Linked DNA regions of Drosophila melanogaster. The protein of the gene in region 1 interacts with the protein of each later gene in a pairwise test. Each region holds a gene or a part of one and is shown in the gene's direction. Other genes may lie near its edges. The genes, in order: Sap47, Rrp4, Mitofilin and Cyt-c-p.

Region 1 (4,879 bases):
GATGCGGAACTGAGTACTTGATGAACTGGCGTTCGTTGCCCTTCGGTGGTTCAGGAGTCTCCTTGCACGGCTTGGGCACCAACCGCTCCGACACCTCCATCAGTCGCACCTGCTCATCCAAACTGCTCAAGGGCAGCTTTCGCATTATGCGGCGCAGCTGCTTGCGCTTTTTGGGCGTGAGCAGGTGGTGGTGCTTCTGAAAGCGCTCCACTCCGCGGTGCAAGTTCTCCATCATCTTTACCCAAACGTCCATGCTCCTGCTCTCCGCCTCGATTTCATTCTGGAGTCGTACGCGCTTTGAGCGAAAATGCCGTATTTGTCGTTGTAGCGACTTCGTCTGATTCTGATCATTCAAATGCTCGCGGACCAGACGGTCGTAGTCCTTTTTCCAGTTCGGTTCCTGAATCATTGGCTTAACTAGGGAATTTCGAATTTTTAAAAACGATAACTGACAAATGCTATCGATGACAAAGTAGTCGTGGTAAAAATATTTAAATAATTGGTTTTAAAAATATTTCGATTCTCGATGATATAGCTATTATATATATCGATAGCTAATTATGAAAGCCGTGTACCATCTCCAATCAGCTGTTTCACCTGCTTTTCGCCGCCTGCTCGTTAGTAAATATCTGGAGTAAAAGCTAAAATTTACCTGGTAGCTCAATACAATTATAAATCACATTCGAAATTAAGTGTTAAAAGTTACGTATGCATTTTTTTAGAAGGACGCCTTTTAAATAGTACAATTGGAACACGGAGGGTCACTACGGTGTTGCGTAATTAAAGCGACACGTTTTCTGAGACCCAAAATTAAGCTGTACACATAGAATGCCGGTGTTTTGACGTACGAATCCAAGGAATACAAGAAACCGTCATGGCCAAGTATATCGCCCAGATCATCGTGTTGGGCGCCCAGGCAGTGGGAAGAGCCTTTACCAAGGCGCTGCGCCAGGAGATCGCCGCATCTCAGGAAGCAGCACGACGGGCGGGTGGTGGCAAGCAGGGCGACAAGAGCGCCGAGTCCAACCTGCGCACAGGTGAGTCTTGGACACAGTCATGCTATCTATTTCACTATTTACACCTACTTATCAATGCAGGCATGACGCTGGAGGAAGCCAAGCAGATCCTGAATATAGATGACCCCAAAAACGTGGACGCTATCACCAAGAACTACGAGCATCTGTTTCAAGTCAACGAACGCTCCAAAGGCGGCTCCTTCTATATCCAGTCAAAGGTTTTCCGGGCGAAAGAGCGGCTGGACCATGAGATTAAGGCCCATGAGCAGCCGAGGTCGTCAAATACGGAAGCAGCGCAAGATACGGCGGAGGAGTCTCAGAGCAGATCGCGGCAGCGACGCTGAGTATCCTTGTTGTCCCAATCGAACTAATTAGCTGATAATTGATTTAAAAACTACGTGTTAAGTACAAAAAATGAAAGTCTGTTGCTGTAAATAGAGATTTACGAACATGAAGACAAGTGTAAACACTTTCTGAGAAGAGCTCGACTTTCCAGGAACACAAATGTAATGGAATTCTTGTAAACTAACACGGATTAGCTCAGGCGGTTAGGTATAAATATTTTACTCTCAGGCCAGGTAACTAGAATCGGATCGATTTTAAGATCACGCTTCTTGGGGTTTGAAAATAAAAATATTTTAAGTATCAACAAAGTTCCATGTCTTGATCTAGCTATAGCTAAAATTATGCTGATGTAAATAAACTAATGCTGCAATGGGCTTCCAAACTTTCGCAATAGGAACTTGGAAATTTTAAAATCAGCTGTTGCAGAAGCCAGAGATGCGCGAACATATCGGTAGAGCTATCGACCGACAGCAGTCAGCTGTTCGATGGGCAGCACTGGCCGAGAACAAACCGAAAATAATCATTACTGGTGCGCAGTTGTTGTTTCCATAGACGTGTCAATTGTTTGTCTAATTGCGCCAGCAGCAGCAAAACGACGCCAAAGCACACATGCGCATTCCAGCGCACAAATATCCCACCCACGAAAATCGCAATACCATCGCCCCAGCAACGCGGAGGAGGGGGTGGACTCCACTTTTCCAGGGAGAAAGCGAACGTACGCATACGAGAATCCGAATCTGAGAATCCCCAATCCCCGAGTCCAAGAGAGCGAAGACGACACTCCAGCTCGGTATTTGAGACATCGACATTCCGCTGCTCCGTCAGTTTTCAGAGGACCTTCGAAGTGGGCAGCCGAAAATCCAAAAGTCTCCTGGCAGCGAACGGAAAACCAAAGAGAAAAAAAATAAGAAAAGCAAAATCCAGTTGGCAGAGAAAAGCTCAAGTGGTAATTGGCTGCGACTCAAATTACTTTAGTTGTGCAAATAGCGAATAGCTATAAACCCAAAAAGAAAAGAAACTCGAGCGTGGCGTGTGTCCATGTGGAAAATCGATCGAATCGCAGAGTATTTATCGTGTAATTGTGCCCAATAGCCACGCAATTCCCAGTCCGTTTTATTGATTTTCCCCACCGCCTCGCCAAGTAGCAATAAAAACCATTCTTTTACCTTCCATCTCGGCCATCTGGACAAAGCAATTGCAGCGTGAAAAATTCAAATTTCAAGTTAAATGCGAGAATTTACATAACGCCGAGCGTTGAAAGTGAAACTTCTGTGGTGCGAACGAAACACTGAAAGAAAGGAAAACCCATTACAGGACATTCTATCTGCCTCTGCCCAGTGTAGTAAAAGTTGGAGAGCCAGGAGCGGGAGAGCAGTGGAAAACCGTGAGAACCGCGAGAACAAGAGAGCCTAGAGAGCGTTGAACGTGCGCACGTCTTCCTGGTCAGGACACACCACCAATCCTTGAGAGAAACAGCAGGAGCCAACATGTTTTCGGGCCTAACAAATCAATTCACCTCGCTGGTGGGCGCCGTTAAAGGAGGCGCTGGCGACGAGGATGTGCCCGCGCCCACAGGAGATGCGCCCGCAGCCGCTCCAGCAGCATCCACATCCGTGGAGGCCACGGCCTCCTCCGCCGTGGACCCGGAGGCAGCTGCCGCAGCCGGTGGCGAAGGACTCGAGGGCGAGGAAGCTGGCAAAAGGTAAGTGTGAATCGAACAATGCGCGCTGGGTAATCCTTCGGCCCATCTTTCTAGTCTTCCGTGACTGTGACTCCGAAATCCAGACTTCAGTCGACCTGACATGGCGTGCCAATGTGACCTTGCTATTTGTACCTTTTAACATTTCGCTCCGTGGAGTTCCTACCCTCCAGCAATCGCTCCTTTACGGTACATTCATCATTGTTTTGACACACTCCGCTTATCCTGCATTTTACGTTGCATTCCGCACGCTCTCACGTGACTGAACATAATTGCTTAAACTGGAATCCAAATGCCCGATAATTTCACTCCCATATATATCCTATATGGCTCCGCTTCCTTGCGAAGCTAGTCGACTGACTTTCCTGAACATTTCTGGCTAGCAATTTCGATTTGAAAATGCCAGGCCAATTTGTGGTTTAAATGGATTTCGTTTGATTATTCTTGAAATGGCAAATCGCATTGTGAAGACTGTATTTCTTTTTAATTGTTGAAATATTTGAATCGTTATAGAATATAGCATAAATCAGTCTTCAAAAGAGTCTCTCAGCTTGGCATATATGTATTACTTAGTATGGTAGACTGTCAGTAGTGTAATTCTCCAAGCGAATTTATTTGCCCTAATTTTGTTGACCAAAGGAAATTCCTTGAACTGTCAGCAAACGGAAAAGAGCAACTCCATGCTTACTAACTTCCGACTGGTTTCTTTTCTTTTACTTCCCTCAAACTGAGTGGATAGGACTGCCCTATTTCTTTTCGACCTCGCCGTATCATTTGACCTCGTCCTTCGCGCTTCTTCTGGGTACTTCATCAATCTCTAGCAGGCATTCCACACCCTAGTTATGTTGAGTTTGCTTTATCCCACAAGAGTGTTACTGCCGTTTCAGCCTTCATTTCCTCGAAATAAATGAAAGTAAATTCCAATTATTCGGCTGATATTTTGGACAAGTTAAGACCGCTGTGATGGCCCGTTAATGCCACAAGTTGCTGGCTAATCCGGAAGATCAGCCAAAGTCAACTAACGTTGTTTTTCACTTAATTCAGCTCATTAATATTTAATTGTGCGAGTGTGCGCTGGATGCCAGGATGTCAATCCGGGGCACGTTTTTCCAACCAGCTGCCAACAGCTGGTGTCGTCGTGGTCGTCGTCGTCGTTGTTGTCTTTGAAACCCAAGTCCGTGATGTGTCACGCCTTTTCAACGGGCCGCCGTTCTCCTTCTGCCCCGCAAGTCCTTTCACTATCAATTGACATTGACGAGTTGGACCACCTTCGTGTTGTTCTTTGTATCTCGTCTTTATTTTACTCTTTTTGTTTTCTGTACGTTCCAATGAAAATAATTTGCACGTGGCTCCTGCATAACCACAAAATGTTGAGTCATTCGAGCTGGCGGCGCCCTCGTCCGCTTTCACCACTCGTACACTCTGGTTTTTTGACCATCTTGCTGTGTGCGAAATACTGTCACCAATGCCGATGGGTAGAGGTGGAGCATTCGGAAGGGGGCTGGCTCGGAGGCAGGATGTGTTCCTTTTGGTGGTTGCTTTCCAGTTTCCAGTTGACTTTTGCTCGTTTTGCGGATCGATACGAGAGAGCCGTGCGAAAGGACGCTCTATGCTTCTCTCTGCGAAATGTGCACATGTGATGAGGCCACAACGAGTAGAAACGACGATGGCGCCCGCTCTAGAGGATTTGCTACTCCACGACCCGACCCGCCCCCTTGTTGTCCTTTTGTCAGCCTATTTAATAATTGTGCATTCAGAAAACGTGTGTGCTGGCTTGTTGCCTGTCTTTACGCCTGTGCCTGTGCCCCTGCCACTGTCC
Region 2 (3,517 bases), on another chromosome or scaffold:
GGTTGATATCGCCCACTTTAGAAAGCGAACTTCCGAAACGGGCACCACTGCTCAATGGCAAGCGAATTATCTTTTTCTCGAATTTAAACTGAAGCGGGAAATAGAAGCAGTCTGACTAATGGCGATTATAGGGAATTCGGTTAACTCACCAATCCCTTGTTGATGAACACGTATATGGCACCCACGTCATAGGAATCCCCTAGAGCGTTGAGTGGCGCGGATACGACCACATCCGTTAGTCCATCGCCATTGAGATCTTCCGCCACCACGGAGTAACCGAAGTACTCGCCCAACTGCTCGCCGTGAAACACATGCAGCTTACGGACTATCTCTCCCACAACGTCGAAAATGTATGCCTTGCCGGTATTCAGGACAGAGCTCGGCGCGGTGGTCACGTAGAGCAGACTGGTCCGGTTATTGCTGCTAAAGTATCCGGAGCTCAGGGCGTAACCGACGTATGTGAAGTGATTCTTTACCCAATCCCACGAATCGAGCATCTTGACTGCATAGCTTCCCTGGGCAGCCAAATCTTCTCCGCGGTGCACTAACACCGATCCCTTCCAGCTACGGACTCCCGGGGCGCCGATCAGGAACCCCGAGTTGTCGTCCGTCACATGGGCACTGAGCCCCAGCTCCAGCATGAAATGTTCTTCTGCTTGCGAAGGGATTAGACTGATAGTCCTCACGTCGCTCAGCGGAGGAGTGTCTGCCACTGTGTCCCGAACCCAGTAGCAAATTCCTCTCATTTGGCCATAGTTCTTGTTCTTCGGCACGAAAAACCGAGGTGCGCACACGAGCAGCTTGTCCGTATCCTTGGTGCCGCCATCCATAGAGCCGCCCAGCCACTGGAATTGCTTATTTAGCTTGTCGTTTAGGACGTAATGCGAGCAGGATCCACTGGCCAGGGGGCATCTGTAGACAGCTCCAGTCTCATTAATGCTGCCTTGCGATTCCAAGGTGGACTGAGCACGCGGAGCTCCCACGAAGATGCTGCATTGATCACGAAGTTTTTTGTTAGAAGGAACTTCATGGAATTTCAAGTGCAATCACAGTCTGGGATCGATAGCTTCCCTAGGATAAGATCTCACCTGGTTGGACGGATGACGAGCGAGTATCCAAAGTAGGAGCTTCGCACTTGGATCATTCGGGTTTTTAGGTGCTTTGGAGCATCTATCACTCGATTCGGCAATGGCGAAAAGTTCATTGCATTGCTCTGGTATTTGAGAGCCAAAAAAATTAGGAACAGAAGCCGATGCATTTTCTACTTCAAGTTTTTAGTCTTATTCTAGAAAATATTATTCCGGATGGGAATGTGCCTGCGAGCTCTGAGGCAATCCAACTGAAACAAGATGATGAATGTTTCAGAAGTCTAATGGAGCTTAGCTAACTTAAAGAAGACAGATAACTTATCATTGAAATGCCAGAGCAATTATTTCAAAGCTGTTCTTTAAAATTATAATTTGTATGCTGCTTATCTAAGGACAAACTCAAAAATGCTTTCGACATATATATTATACACATTAACAATAAATGTTATTTCATAAAACTAAGGAAACTAAAAACGTGATTTTAACAGTTTTTTTTAATCCCCTTTACTTTTATTTTATTTCGATTGTATGTATTTTTTGTTAGGCAATAGAATTTGCAAGTCTTCGTTACATTTACTTTCGAATTTCAACAAAATTGGTTTTTAAAATTGCAATTCGCCGCAACCGATAGGCACTGTAGTTGCGGCGAAGAAATGGAACTTGAACCGGAACCAGCAACGAACCCCGAACCCGAACCGGTTCCGCGTGGCGCGTGTTTTGCCAGCTGTTGCTCTTTTTGCCTCGCTCAAAATTAAATTTTTGTTTACCTCGCTTTGGCCAAACTGAGATGTCCACCAACGCGGCGATAGATCTGGCCCTGGACCGGGTGGACTGGCGCGACCTGGCCGCGCAGACGGAGGAACAGCCGAGGGTGTATACGCCGGGGGAAGTGCTGATGCCGGAGGCGGGATTCATGCGCGGCCACGGAACCTTCGTCGAGGACGAGAACATCAAGTCCTCGGTGGCCGGGGTGATCCAGAAGGTCAACAAGCTGATCTCGGTGCGCCCGCTTAAGAGTCGCTATGTGGGCGAGATCGGGGACGTGGTGGTGGCCCGCGTCAGCGAGGTGCAACAGAAGCGCTGGCGAGTGGACACCAATTCCCGGCTCGACTCCATCCTACTGCTCTCCTCGGTGAATCTGCCAGGCGGAGAACTACGACGGAGATCGGCGGAGGACGAGCAGATGATGCGACGATACTTGGACGAGGGCGATCTCATCTCTGCCGAGGTCCAGGTGGGTACTTCCTAACTTGCTGGTACTGGAGTAACTATATAATCTTTCTTCTCTGGCCACCAGAACATCTTTGAGGAGGGCTCCCTTTCGCTGTACACGCGCAGTTTGAAGTATGGAAAACTATCGCAGGGCATCCTGGTCAAGGTGTTCCCCGCTCTCGTCAAGCGCCGCAAGATGCACTTCCACAACCTGCCCTGCGGCGCCTCCGTGATCCTGGGCAACAATGGCTACATCTGGATATCGCCGACCAAGGGCCAGGAGGAGGAAGGCGGCGAGGGAGGATTCGCTCAGAACCTGAACGAGCATGTGCCGCGCGCGGATCGGGAGGTGATCGCCCGGCTGAGGAACTCCATCCTCGCGCTGGCCAAGTGCAAGCTGATGATTTACGACACCAGCATCCAGTACGCCTACGAGGAGTCCCTGCGCTACGAGGCCCACGAGCTGCTCCAGCAGAACGCCATCTACGACATCGGCCAGCAGACGCAGGCTCGTCTGAGGGACGCGGACGAGTAGTATATATGCATATACATATATTTTATACACAAGTAGCTTAAATAGAGGTTAATGTATTTTCTACCGTCAAATGAAAAATTAACATTTCAATGGGTTCGAAATTGGTGGATTTCAAAATTGCATCAGTGGGCTAAAATCTTAAATACACTGAAAACTATCGCAAGCTTTCTGTTTAATAAAAATGTTCATTTGATATTTCCTGAATTTGTATGATAAATGTTGGTTTCCTAATAAAAAGTCAGGTTTTCTAAAATACACAAACTCTTTAAAAAAGAAAACATTTATTGCATATAAGTTAGGTTTTATTGGCGTTTAAAAAATACATACATTTTCATAGCACTTTAGTTTTAGTTAAAAGTTTCGACTTAAAATTACTTTTAGTTAAAAAGCAGCTAAAATATCGATATTTTACCAGGACGCGCACCGAGTGGCAGCACACATTAGCGATCCGGCAACGCCCTGGCGGTTTGTGCAAATGAAAAGTGATTCTGCCTGGATGATAAAGGGACTCGGCATAAATTTTTTATTTTTATGTCATCCCATATTAGTGTGACGTTGTATTTGTGACAAATACTTGATTGTGTAAAATAAAAACAAAAAGTTTCGCTAGCAAAATTCACACAGAAACATCGATATCTGCATAGTGCACATCTCTAAGCGACGCCAAGCGATTGTTTTCCTC
Region 3 (5,869 bases), 6.1 Mb from region 1:
TCTCGATCTGCTTGCAGGTCTGAACTACCAGGACCACTGCGATGAGCAGAACAAGCCGACCCCCAAGGAACCATTGTTCTTTAGCAAGTTTAACAATGCCCTGGTGGGTCCTCAAGATAATGTCATCGCTCATGCGGCCAGCAGCGTAAGTGAAGCAAGAGATAACAAGAGATAGGCTCATCGAGATAACCAACCGACCAAAAAAAAATTCCACAGAAAATCGATTGGGAGGTTGAGCTGGTCTGTGTCATTGGCAAGGTCGCCCGCCAGGTGCCCAAATCGCAGGCCATGGACTATGTCTTCGGGTATTCGGTGGCCCAGGATATCTCCGCCCGCGACTGGCAGAAGGAACGCAACGGTGGTCAGTTCCTTATGGGCAAGTCGATGGACACTTTTCTGCCGCTGGGACCGGCTGTGGTGCACAAGAGTCTGGTGCCGGATGTTTACAACTTGAATCTGAAAACCTGGGTCAACGGCGTGGAGAAGCAGAACGGCAATACCGGCAACTTGATCTTCAAGCTGGACGATGTGATCAATCGTCTGTCGCAGACCATTACCCTGCTGCCCGGCGACATCATAGTCACCGGAACGCCCAAGGGCGTGGGCATGCATCGCACTCCGCCGGAATTCCTTCAGCCCGGTGATGTCGTGCAGTCGGAGATTGTTGGATTGGGCAAGCTGTGCAACAAGATTGTGGCTCCCTAAGATTGTCAACTCATTTGGCTTGTTGTGTTTGTAAAGTTTGTGTTATTAGTGAAACAATGGCATTTAATAGATGATTTTGTAGTTTTCAATAGATAAACTATAATCAGATATTTTGGTTTTGTTTAATTCAAGTATGTAGTATCTTTGATTAGCCAGGTCACACCTTAAAGGTCTTTGACTGTGTGGCGTAGTACTCGTTGCGGCTGTGATAGGGCTTATAGGGATCGTTGATGAAATGCTTTGGGCGCCGCCAATAGCTGGTGACCATCTTGTCCAGCAGCCAGCTCTGCGTGGCATTGGTGAAGACGTGCTGCTTGAGGCGGCGTCGTAAAGCTGCGGATTTCTTGAAGAGCTTCTTTTGGCGACCGGAATGGGTGCGTATCCAGGCGCCCCAGTCCAGGCGCTTAAAACGTTTCAGTACCGCCTTGACGGTCTTTCGTTTACCCTTCACCAGCGAGAATTTGGTCACGTTGCGTGTGTTTGATGGTGTTCCTGTGGCTGCTAGCACACCCGGCAGCTGCAGGAGCTGGTGATGAGCAGGAGATGCCAGTGATGGCGTGGGCAACAGGCACGGACGGGATAGAGTCATCAAAGTGGCACGTTGTGTCCGCTGGACCAGAGGAACCAACGAAGATGCAGCCGGCGACTGGCGGCAAACGCTTCGCAGCGCTGAAAGTTAAGAACAATTAAAGTAACGTAAACTTGTAAGCCCTATTAGCTGACTTCAACTTACCGCTTGTCACAAAAGTTCTTAGCATTTCACTTAAAACGACAAAGATAAACCTATAATTCCATACAAAACGCAGGTGCTCTTCTTCTTATCGAATCGCGTAACAGTCAGCTGTGTGCCATTCACAGCGAACAAACATAGATTAGCTTGCTATTGGAGATGGGAACCGGTCATCATAAGAACTATCGCAAATGTTTTGGGATTCACCCAAGGAATGGATCAAGTTCAATTTTTCGTTGATAACAATTAAGGCAAAAGGATCCCTTAACCATGTAATCCATTTGTAGAACACTGACAATTCTGACAATTTAAAACTTGTTATAAAAATTGTTGCTTAAACTTATGCGCCCATCTCCAAATCAAATGTATTTTGACTGGCCTATCGAGTACATGCGTATATGTTGCCGACACTTTTTCCATCAAAACACAAACCAAAATTGAGTGATCAAATTCGAGTGGCGCGGGCAAGCGAAACGAAAAGGACGACGAGCAGCACGCAGGACTCGTGTGCGTGTGCGTGGGAGTGTGGGGAATGGAAGAGGAAGCAGCAGCACTGGCCAGCCATTCACCCACCAGCGCTGACGCAGTCGAGCCAGCTTCGAACGAATTGGGCAATATTTAATTCACGCCGCCGGGACTTGAAATTTACGGTAGCCGAAGGAGCAGGAGCACGAGCAGAGCAGGATCACAGCAAAATCAACACCATGTATCGGCTAGCGGTGCGAGATCAGTGCAAGTGCGCCCTGCAGGTGAATTTTTGACCCATTCATTTCTAGCTATTTGATAACGTGAAAATCGATCGTCACGTTGCCCCACACCCCCGCGCGCCCACAAACAAGCGGTTGGCGAAAATACAACAAGAGGCGCTGGTTATGTCATCTACCAAGCCCAGGAATTGGGCGAAAAGCTCCAAAATTCCAGTTGACCAAGGGCGCGGGGGTATCAACGGGCTTGCCAATTTCCTTAAATGTGATGGTCCTAAATGTATTACCTTTCATTGCAACAGCGTACGCTGCAGCAGACGACCGCAAACAACAGGCAATTCGGCGGAAGCAGCAGCGGAAGTGGCGGCCGGGAACAGGGCAGGCGGCAGCAGGAGGAGCAGGGACAGCAAGGCGATCAAGGATATCAAGGATACCAGAGCCTGCCACCGCATATGCGCGAAGCTGGCTTCGGCAAAGTGGTCCTCTTCGTCTCACCACTGGCAGCTGTCGGCGGTGTCATCACCTACGCCAAGTAAATAGAGCCACAATAGAGGTTTAAGATAAGGATAGGCAGTCCACCTGTAGATCAACAAAAATTCGTACACATTTTATTGCACCTGAAATGCTTAAATGAACCATCGAATAATGTAGAAATCCTTTTCCAGATACGACGACGACTTCCGCAAATTGGTGGAGAAGAATGTACCCGGCGCAGGATCCGTCATCAAGGTGGCTCTGCAGGAGGAACCGCCATTCAAGGGCATCACCAAGAACGTCAACGATCAGATCGATAAGGTCAAGTCTGGCATCGAGACAGTGACGTCCACGGTGGACTCCGTTACATCTAAGGTGACGGGCCTGTTTGGCGGCGGCAGCGGCGATGACAAGTCCAAGAAGTCCAAAGTGGAGCCCGTGAAGGCCACTCCTGCTGAGGAAAAGAGACCCTCAAAACCAAGCGAAGTCAGCAAGACTGAAGCGAAGCCAGTGTCGAAGCCAGCAGCAGCAGCAGCGCCTGCGCCCGCTGCCAAGCCTAAGGATAATCCGCTGCCCCGCGATGTTGTTGAGCTGGAGAAAGCCATCGAGCTGTCTGCTCAACTGGCCGTCAAGGAGTACAACGTCGCTATTGGCGTTTTGAAAGGGTGAGCAATTCTCGTTAACTATTCGTTGCGTGATTTTAAATTTAATCAAATATCGTTCAGCTTTAATGACGATGTCCGTAAGGTTGTAGACAAGGCCGTAGAGAATGGAGAGAACTCTCTTTGGACCACGCTGAAAAATCGAGCAAGTGCCCGTGATACGGCAGTGGCTACGGCAGAGCGAGCTGCCCGTGAGGCTCAGGAGAAGATTGGTAAGTCCATTGTTTGTTAAATAGATTCCAAATTTCAGTAACATTCCCTTCTATCAACTGCAGTCGCCTGCGAGATCGCCCTGAGTGCTGCGGCAACGGCCCAAAACGCAAAGAAAGTAGAGGCAGTGCGCGACAAGATCAAGAAGCTTGTGGACCACATTGGCAACGTAAAGGACGAGCTTTACCGGCACAAGGACACGGCCAGCGTGTCAGACAAGTACTGGCGGAATGTGGAGAAGGCGCGAAACTACTTCATTGACGAGATCGAGTCTATCTTCCCCGGCCTCAGTTTGGCGGATAAGAAACTTAATCTGTCAAAGGAGGACCTAGACTTGTTCATCCTGCACGCCTACACCCATGTCCTGGCCTACCAGAAGGAGCTGCAGCGCTTGCAAACCGATGGTGAGCTGCGCCTGAAGAGAGCTATTGACTCGGTTCGCGGTGACAACGATTCGGAGGCTTTGCGCGCCCAACTGGAATACCATTTGGAGGCCGAGCGGCGCAAACTGGCCGTGGAAAATCAAAAGAAAATCTTCCACATCCACGCCGAGTCTGATAAGCTGCTGCGCTTGCAGCTCAAAAAGCAAGCAGAGGCCCACGCCGATCATATAAAGGACATCGTGGCGCAGCGGGAGACCGATCTGACGCGAAGCTTTAAGCGTGAACTTGAGGATAAGCTGGCGACCGAAAAGGCCAACTATAAGTTACAATTGGCCGGGATGCTCGGCAAGCTGCGCGGAATGGACGCGGCTCTGGCAGGTAAGTTATACGTTTTAAACGATATCGGTTGAATGTAGCTAGTGTAGCGTGGCTAGATATATAATGGTTTTCAAACCTTTTCAAAACATGCTGCTATATTAGAGATAGAGGATGAGTTTCAAGGTATATTCACCCTATATGAAGGGTAGTACTTATACCAACTTATTCTTGGTTTAATCAAAATGTTTATTGACATTATATGCAACATTTTTGCAGAGCGTGCGGATGCAGAGCGTACTGCCAATCAGGCGCAGGCCCTTTGGGCCGCCTGCCAAGCTCTGTGGGCCTCCGTGCGCGCTGCCACTCCTGGCGTGCACTATAAGGATAGGTTGCGCCCGTTAAAGAACGAGATCAATGCCATTGCCAAGGTGGCTAGTAAGTTGAAACGTTTCCCACATTTCGATTTCAGTTGCTAAATGCATATGCTTACAGAGGGTGACGACCTGGTGGCCGCTGTGCTGGAAAGCGTCCCGAAGGAGGCTCAGGAGCGCGGTGTCTATCCAGAAGATGCATTGCGCGAGCGTTTCCTGAATGTGGAGCGCGTGGCGCGACGATTGGCTTTGGTGCCCGAGGAAGGAGCCGGCCTGCCCATCTACTTCCTGTCCTATCTGCAATCGCTGTTCATCTTGCGACCCGATAATCCCATATCCAAGGACGAACTCGAGAACAAACCCTTCGACTATAGCAAACTGGACACCTACGATATCCTAAACAGGGCCAGGTGAGGCGATTGATTCATCTATCACTAGAGTTATATAATATATATTATATATATTATGTTTCACAGGTACCATGTGGATCGCAGCGACTTTCTGCAGGCGCTCAAGTACATGAATCTGCTGCAGGGTGCATCGCGCAAGATTGCCGGCGAGTGGATGAAGGAGGCTCGCCTCATGCTGGAGACTCAGCAGGCGGCCAACACCTTGATGGCTCACGCCGCTGCCAGCGGACTATTGTATTTGTAGACTACGTCCCGTGTCCCCTTCCTTCAGAAACAAGATGATACACTTACTATTTGTTATTAGTCCAGGAGAAGATGGTACGATTACCAACAATATGTAATTTGTCCAATTAGCGATCACAGTTGAAACGAAATAGCACTTATATACATATATTTGTAACATTTTGTTTAGCTTCAATTATACAAATTAAACATAGAAACCATCATTATAAAATCCAAAACATAAATACTCTGGGAAGATTTGTAAAAAATTCGATACCAAGGCATGAATGGAATATGATATATTACTAAAGCTGAAATTGGCAAGCTTTGTGTTTCTGAAGAACAATGTGATTAGGCCATAAATAAACATAAAGAACATCCACTTGTTGTTTAATTTAGCGAAAAAAATTAATATAATAAATAAGTTGACTAAAAAGTATGCTGAATGTCAAAATTCAAATAAAATGCATTGGCTAAATTTAATTTCTCTGTTCTGAAAAGAAAGCATGGTAGGCAAGGCAAATGTATTCAAAAACAGGTTACTATGCGGTTGCCGCCAAATTTATTCCTTAAATAATCGTATATGTTCGTTACTAATTTTCGAACGCCAAAATCGCGATAGTTGGTCGTTAGCCAGCACTGGACGCGCCAGTTTCGTGGGCGGCTATCGCCAGCCCTGG
Region 4 (4,937 bases), on another chromosome or scaffold:
TAATATCATTCTCTGAAAAATATCATAATGCACTCTTGTAAATTTAAAACAAATTTAATTTTAAGATAATTGGTTGAGATAAACATAGTTAATATTTTCAATTGATCCTTTAAATTTTAAATTGCAGGTGAATATCATCCCTGTGTGACCGTTGTATGCGGCATGGTTCCATGTCTCTTTCCCGTTATTCATTTCCCTCTGCTTTGTTTTTTTTTTTTTTGGTTTTGTTATGCGGTGGCATCTGTTTTTGCCACAGGAAAATGGTTGAGAGAGGGGAAGGCAGGGGGCGAAAGCGGAGAGTGCGTAAAATGCGTTTTAATTGAAAGGAAATGTTCAAAGCACATGTGCATCTGCTAGTCAACGAATTGGTTGGGAAAGGGGGTGGCAAGCCGAATGTGTCTGCTAATTGAATTACCTTTCGGTTGCTTTTCCCATTAGAAGTGCCGACAAGTTCTCGAGCTGCTTGTTTGCTTTTCATTTAATACCCATTTTGATTTAATTTTCGTTTTTCCTATTTTTCTGACCCAATTTTGTTTTGCTTTCGTGCATTAGCAGCTGTCTCTGTCTATCGCTGTGCAGCCAAGAGAGTGACCAAGAGAAACGCTCTCTCTCTCTCTCTCAGTTGTCCAGGACTTGCACTTTTCAAACGGTTTTTTAGGACACTGAAACAAATTGAATCTGTTTTTCTTTTCTATCAAATTTTTAGTTCTACACTTTTCTTTTTCATGATAGTTTCGGAATCAACCAATTTCTATTTGATCCAAATTAACAAAAAACAAATAACAAAAAATTAAAAAATATAGAAATAAAAGCTGCATAAAAAGTTGAATTCTAAATCATAAATATCATTTTTCCCTATTTGTCTTTCAGGCTTCCAAGATGGGTTCTGGTGATGCAGAGAACGGCAAGAAGATATTTGTGCAGAAGTGCGCCCAGTGCCACACCTACGAAGTGGGCGGCAAACACAAGGTGGGCCCAAATCTTGGCGGGGTCGTGGGTCGCAAGTGTGGCACAGCAGCGGGATACAAGTATACCGATGCCAATATAAAGAAGGGCGTTACCTGGACAGAGGGGAATTTGGACGAGTACCTCAAGGACCCGAAGAAATACATTCCCGGAACAAAGATGGTGTTCGCAGGTCTTAAAAAGGCTGAGGAGCGGGCCGATTTGATTGCCTTCCTCAAGTCAAACAAGTAGAATCGCCTGCGAAACAACAAGATCGGCCACCATGCTATCCAGAAAACTGCGCTTAAAGACTACAAACATATTCAAAAGATGACGTATTTCACTTGGATTTCGAAACTTTGATTGGGAATGGTCGAGCTCAAATACATTTCAAAAAGGTTTACTTTCACTTTAGCCAATTAAAGTTGATAAACCAAAAACCCTCTTCTTAATTCAAGTTGTGTGCGACGCGGGTGGAGGAAAGTGTTGTACCAATCAGCTTTGGTCACAGTTGGTTTTATGGTCCTACTAGCAAAATGTAATAAATTGGAGAAGCTTGTTAAATAATGCAAATTTTCCAGAGGCTTTCCAATATAGTCCCGTTAATAGGGGAAAAAATTACTTATACGCCGTGTGGTGGATAAATACGGGTACAAAAGCTTGCGACATTTTTTAATGCGTGGCCCCCGGTCACTCTGGTCACACTAATTACCTATCGACATAACGCGCGCTCGTCATTCGTGAAAAATCGGCGACGCTCGACGTTTGTGTTCAATGTAAGTAGTGGGTGGAATTTTTGTATTTTCAAGTGACGTAAATATTACCTTGAATAGTTATTGATTATCAAGCCCCAAGTCAGATAAAGATTAGAAACACTTCCGTGTCATTTACGTAACATCCAGCAGCTGTGTTTTGTTCTGAAAATGATTCGCATGCAAATTTAACGTATTCTTTGGGGGATGATTCAGGTTACATAAACGTGTCCTTGTGTGTGTGTGTATAAGTGTGATTTTTTATTAGATATTTAATAGTTTATTTAGCAAATATTAGCAGTGGTGTATTAATAGTAAAAATAGCATCCCAAAGTCACATTGCCATTGAAAAAAGCCCCGGAGAGAGTCGATTACATGAGCAAAGAGAGTGGCGTACCCGATCATCAGCTGTCTCGCTCGCTCAGTGGCAAAAATTAATTCTTGGATTTTTTGTCAATGCTTCAGCTTTGGAGTCTTTAAGCGCGCCACGTGGTTGCTAAGCAGGTTTTGCTTTCTGCGATGTGCAGTTTTCTATAATATAAATAAAAGAGAATTCACCTCTGCGAAAAGGCGGCTTATGTAACATTCGCTGCTCTCAGGAAACTTGGATGTTGGCCCAATTTTCACTCATCTCTTTGTTCTCACCACCTTGCTCACCCACACAAGGAAAAACACAGCTGCCTTTGGCCTGCTTCCAATTTTCCAATTGCACTTTCCCTTCATCTCACGCACACTCACGCACGGCAATTAACTGAAAAATACTCAACAAGGCCAAATCGGATGTTGACATTGTTGTTGCTTTGCCACCTCTCACTGCCAAAGTGCATGATACTCTACACAGAAAGAAGTGAAAAAAAGGTTGATATTAAATGCAAATTATGTGTAAAAGCGCACAAAATCAATAGTCTATATATATTAGGTTTGTTTTTATAGACAAATGCATATAAAATAAAATTAGTTTTCTAGAATTGAAAGAGCTTCAGCTAATCGAATTTCTCTCAGTCTATGTGCGTGATGTGTAGGTGAATTACTCACCGCAACGGTACTTTGCACTCTCAAGTTCAAATTGCTGCATGCAATTTATAATCCGGCAATTAGCAGGATGACCGTAACACAGACCCTGGAATAATAGAATAGTTATGTAAACAACTAACGTTTTTCGTATTATGATGCTTCCTGGAAGTTTTCCGCCTGTTGCTGAGCAGTTCTGACGCAATTAATCGGCGACTGGCAAATATAAGCGAGTGAGACACAAAGAGAGTGTGAGAAGGAGAGAAAGAGTGTGGGGGCAACATGTGACCAGCGTCTGAAGCTTTTTCAAAGTGTGTTTCTGATGACGTTGCGACGCCCTCCACGCGCGTATTAGTGAGAGCAAAGTATGTGGGTTAAAAAGGGGGTGGCCGCAAATGGAAATGCAGACTACGTTAGATAATAATTTCGGGCCTTATCAGAAACAACAGCCGACTAATGCACTTAGCATGAGCAATTTTAATAATTCCGTTTCCGCAGGGAGCTTATCAATTGTTTACATAACGGGGCAAGGGGACAAATATTAATTCACGGTCCATAACTACCTACATTAACCCATTATTTCCCAAGCATGGAAATTTTTGATGATATAAAGACGTTATTATTTTAATACCTTAAAAATATATAATATTATATAAGTAACGTTGGGAAATCAACTGGTTAATAAATTTTAAATTTCGGGTTTATTTATTCAATAATCTTTTGATAATGTATGGCTGAAAGTGAAGCTTTTATCAGTATCTACACAATGGTTCATTGGGGCTAATAATAAATGGTATCAAATATCGTATAACTATTTTTTGCAGTGAAACCAGAATTTCGGACTAAGTACATAAGCAAATGATATAAAATATATATTGTAATCAATTTATCAGAATAGAACAAATTAATTGGTAGCAGTTATGAACTTTGAACCATTTAGTAGCCAGTTTTTTAAGTTTTTCAAACCTAAGATGTAAGATAACAGATATATTGGTTACCCTTGTTTTATGAACCACTCATTAATAACAAACATTTCTTTTTACAGTCGAGTCCGTGTTAACACATTAATTAACCACATAATCCATAATGGGCGTTCCTGCTGGTGATGTTGAGAAGGGAAAGAAGCTGTTCGTGCAGCGCTGCGCCCAGTGCCACACCGTTGAGGCTGGTGGCAAGCACAAGGTTGGACCCAATCTGCATGGTCTGATCGGTCGCAAGACCGGACAGGCGGCCGGATTCGCGTACACGGACGCCAACAAGGCCAAGGGCATCACCTGGAACGAGGACACCCTGTTCGAGTACCTGGAGAACCCCAAGAAGTACATCCCCGGCACCAAGATGATCTTCGCCGGTCTGAAGAAGCCCAACGAGCGCGGCGATCTGATCGCCTACCTGAAGTCGGCGACCAAGTAATGGTGCTGTCCATCAACTTACCCACAACCACTGCAGGATGTCAAACTGTATTATTGTGTTCAGTCACAGTCCGGCACGCAAATGCAGCAGCAGCAACAACTACAACTACAAATCAACATAGTACAGACCTAAAGAACTACAATTATGTTAATTATAAAGTTTAAATAGGACAATTTATTATTTAATTTAAATAAAAAGTGGAATATTTAATTCAAACCCGATGAGAATTGTGACATCCACAAAAAAGTTAAATAATAAAAAAAGAACTAAAAAATGATATAAAATCTGTTTTATGCGAGGACCTGGTTTTTGTAGCTCGCAGGTCAAAAAGAATAAAAAAAGCTTCTTCAGATTTTTGACTCGGGCAACTCAAATTAAAAATAAGAGATACCAATCATATTTATAAAACAATTGTCCTGGCAATTTCTATCAATAGGTATCTGTTAGTCGTCAAACTCGACTGCAGCATACTCTTTGCGTCTGTCAAAAATGTTGTTGGCTGATCTATATAGGCCTTACTCATCTGAGTCGCACAAAGATGACCACAAATCATCCTGGGTTGCTGCAAATTCCTTAGTTCATTGCGTGGAGGTAGACATCACTAAAAACATCCAACAAAGAAAGAGTCGATACGTTACGCAGAAACATCACAATAAGATTGTATTACTGAGAGAGAAAGTAGAAAACTATTAGGGTCGAAATGCTCTCTTAATGCACATTCTATTTGGCCAATCGTTAAACAAGAATACACTGGTATTTTTATATTTTTTGGCTAATTTATGTATATTTTCTTTTACACTCCCAAAATTGTATCAT

The links.
Region 2: the proteins of Sap47 (region 1) and Rrp4 interact in a two-hybrid assay, tested with the Drosophila melanogaster proteins (one large-scale study listed by BioGRID).
Region 3: the proteins of Sap47 (region 1) and Mitofilin interact in a two-hybrid assay, tested with the Drosophila melanogaster proteins (one large-scale study listed by BioGRID).
Region 4: the proteins of Sap47 (region 1) and Cyt-c-p interact in a two-hybrid assay, tested with the Drosophila melanogaster proteins (one large-scale study listed by BioGRID).

Annotation. Positions count from the first base shown.
Region 1 is NT_033777.3:15,933,278-15,938,156, forward strand, and holds the start of Sap47 (Synapse-associated protein 47kD), read left to right. Parts: upstream 1-1,841; 5' UTR 1,842-2,307; exon of another isoform or gene 2,308-2,553; 5' UTR 2,554-2,848; coding exon 2,849-3,063; intron 3,064-4,879. Other genes in the region: CG5478 (uncharacterized protein), read right to left, coding at 1-409; blp (black pearl), read left to right, coding at 875-1,037, 1,098-1,360.
Region 2 is NT_033778.4:23,554,497-23,558,013, reverse strand, and holds Rrp4 (Rrp4), read left to right. Parts: upstream 1-1,796; 5' UTR 1,797-1,875; coding exon 1,876-2,322; intron 2,323-2,385; coding exon 2,386-2,835; 3' UTR 2,836-2,996; downstream 2,997-3,517. Other genes in the region: ItgaPS5 (integrin alphaPS5 subunit), read right to left, coding at 1-88, 150-990, 1,089-1,258.
Region 3 is NT_033777.3:22,019,202-22,025,070, reverse strand, and holds Mitofilin (mitofilin), read left to right. Parts: upstream 1-1,996; 5' UTR 1,997-2,139; coding exon 2,140-2,184; intron 2,185-2,441; coding exon 2,442-2,671; intron 2,672-2,804; coding exon 2,805-3,278; intron 3,279-3,338; coding exon 3,339-3,487; intron 3,488-3,550; coding exon 3,551-4,246; intron 4,247-4,348; coding exon 4,349-4,369; intron 4,370-4,462; coding exon 4,463-4,621; intron 4,622-4,678; coding exon 4,679-4,967; intron 4,968-5,033; coding exon 5,034-5,211; 3' UTR 5,212-5,338; downstream 5,339-5,869. Other genes in the region: CG6028 (uncharacterized protein), read left to right, coding at 18-145, 217-705; mRpL35 (mitochondrial ribosomal protein L35), read right to left, coding at 863-1,374, 1,439-1,463. UniProt on the Drosophila melanogaster protein: Component of the MICOS complex, a large protein complex of the mitochondrial inner membrane that plays crucial roles in the maintenance of crista junctions, inner membrane architecture, and formation of contact sites to the outer membrane.
Region 4 is NT_033779.5:16,718,256-16,723,192, forward strand, and holds Cyt-c-p (cytochrome c proximal), read left to right. Parts: upstream 1-1,676; 5' UTR 1,677-1,721; intron 1,722-3,753; 5' UTR 3,754-3,794; coding exon 3,795-4,121; 3' UTR 4,122-4,389; downstream 4,390-4,937. Other genes in the region: Cyt-c-d (cytochrome c distal), read left to right, coding at 880-1,197. UniProt on the Drosophila melanogaster protein: Electron carrier protein. The oxidized form of the cytochrome c heme group can accept an electron from the heme group of the cytochrome c1 subunit of cytochrome reductase.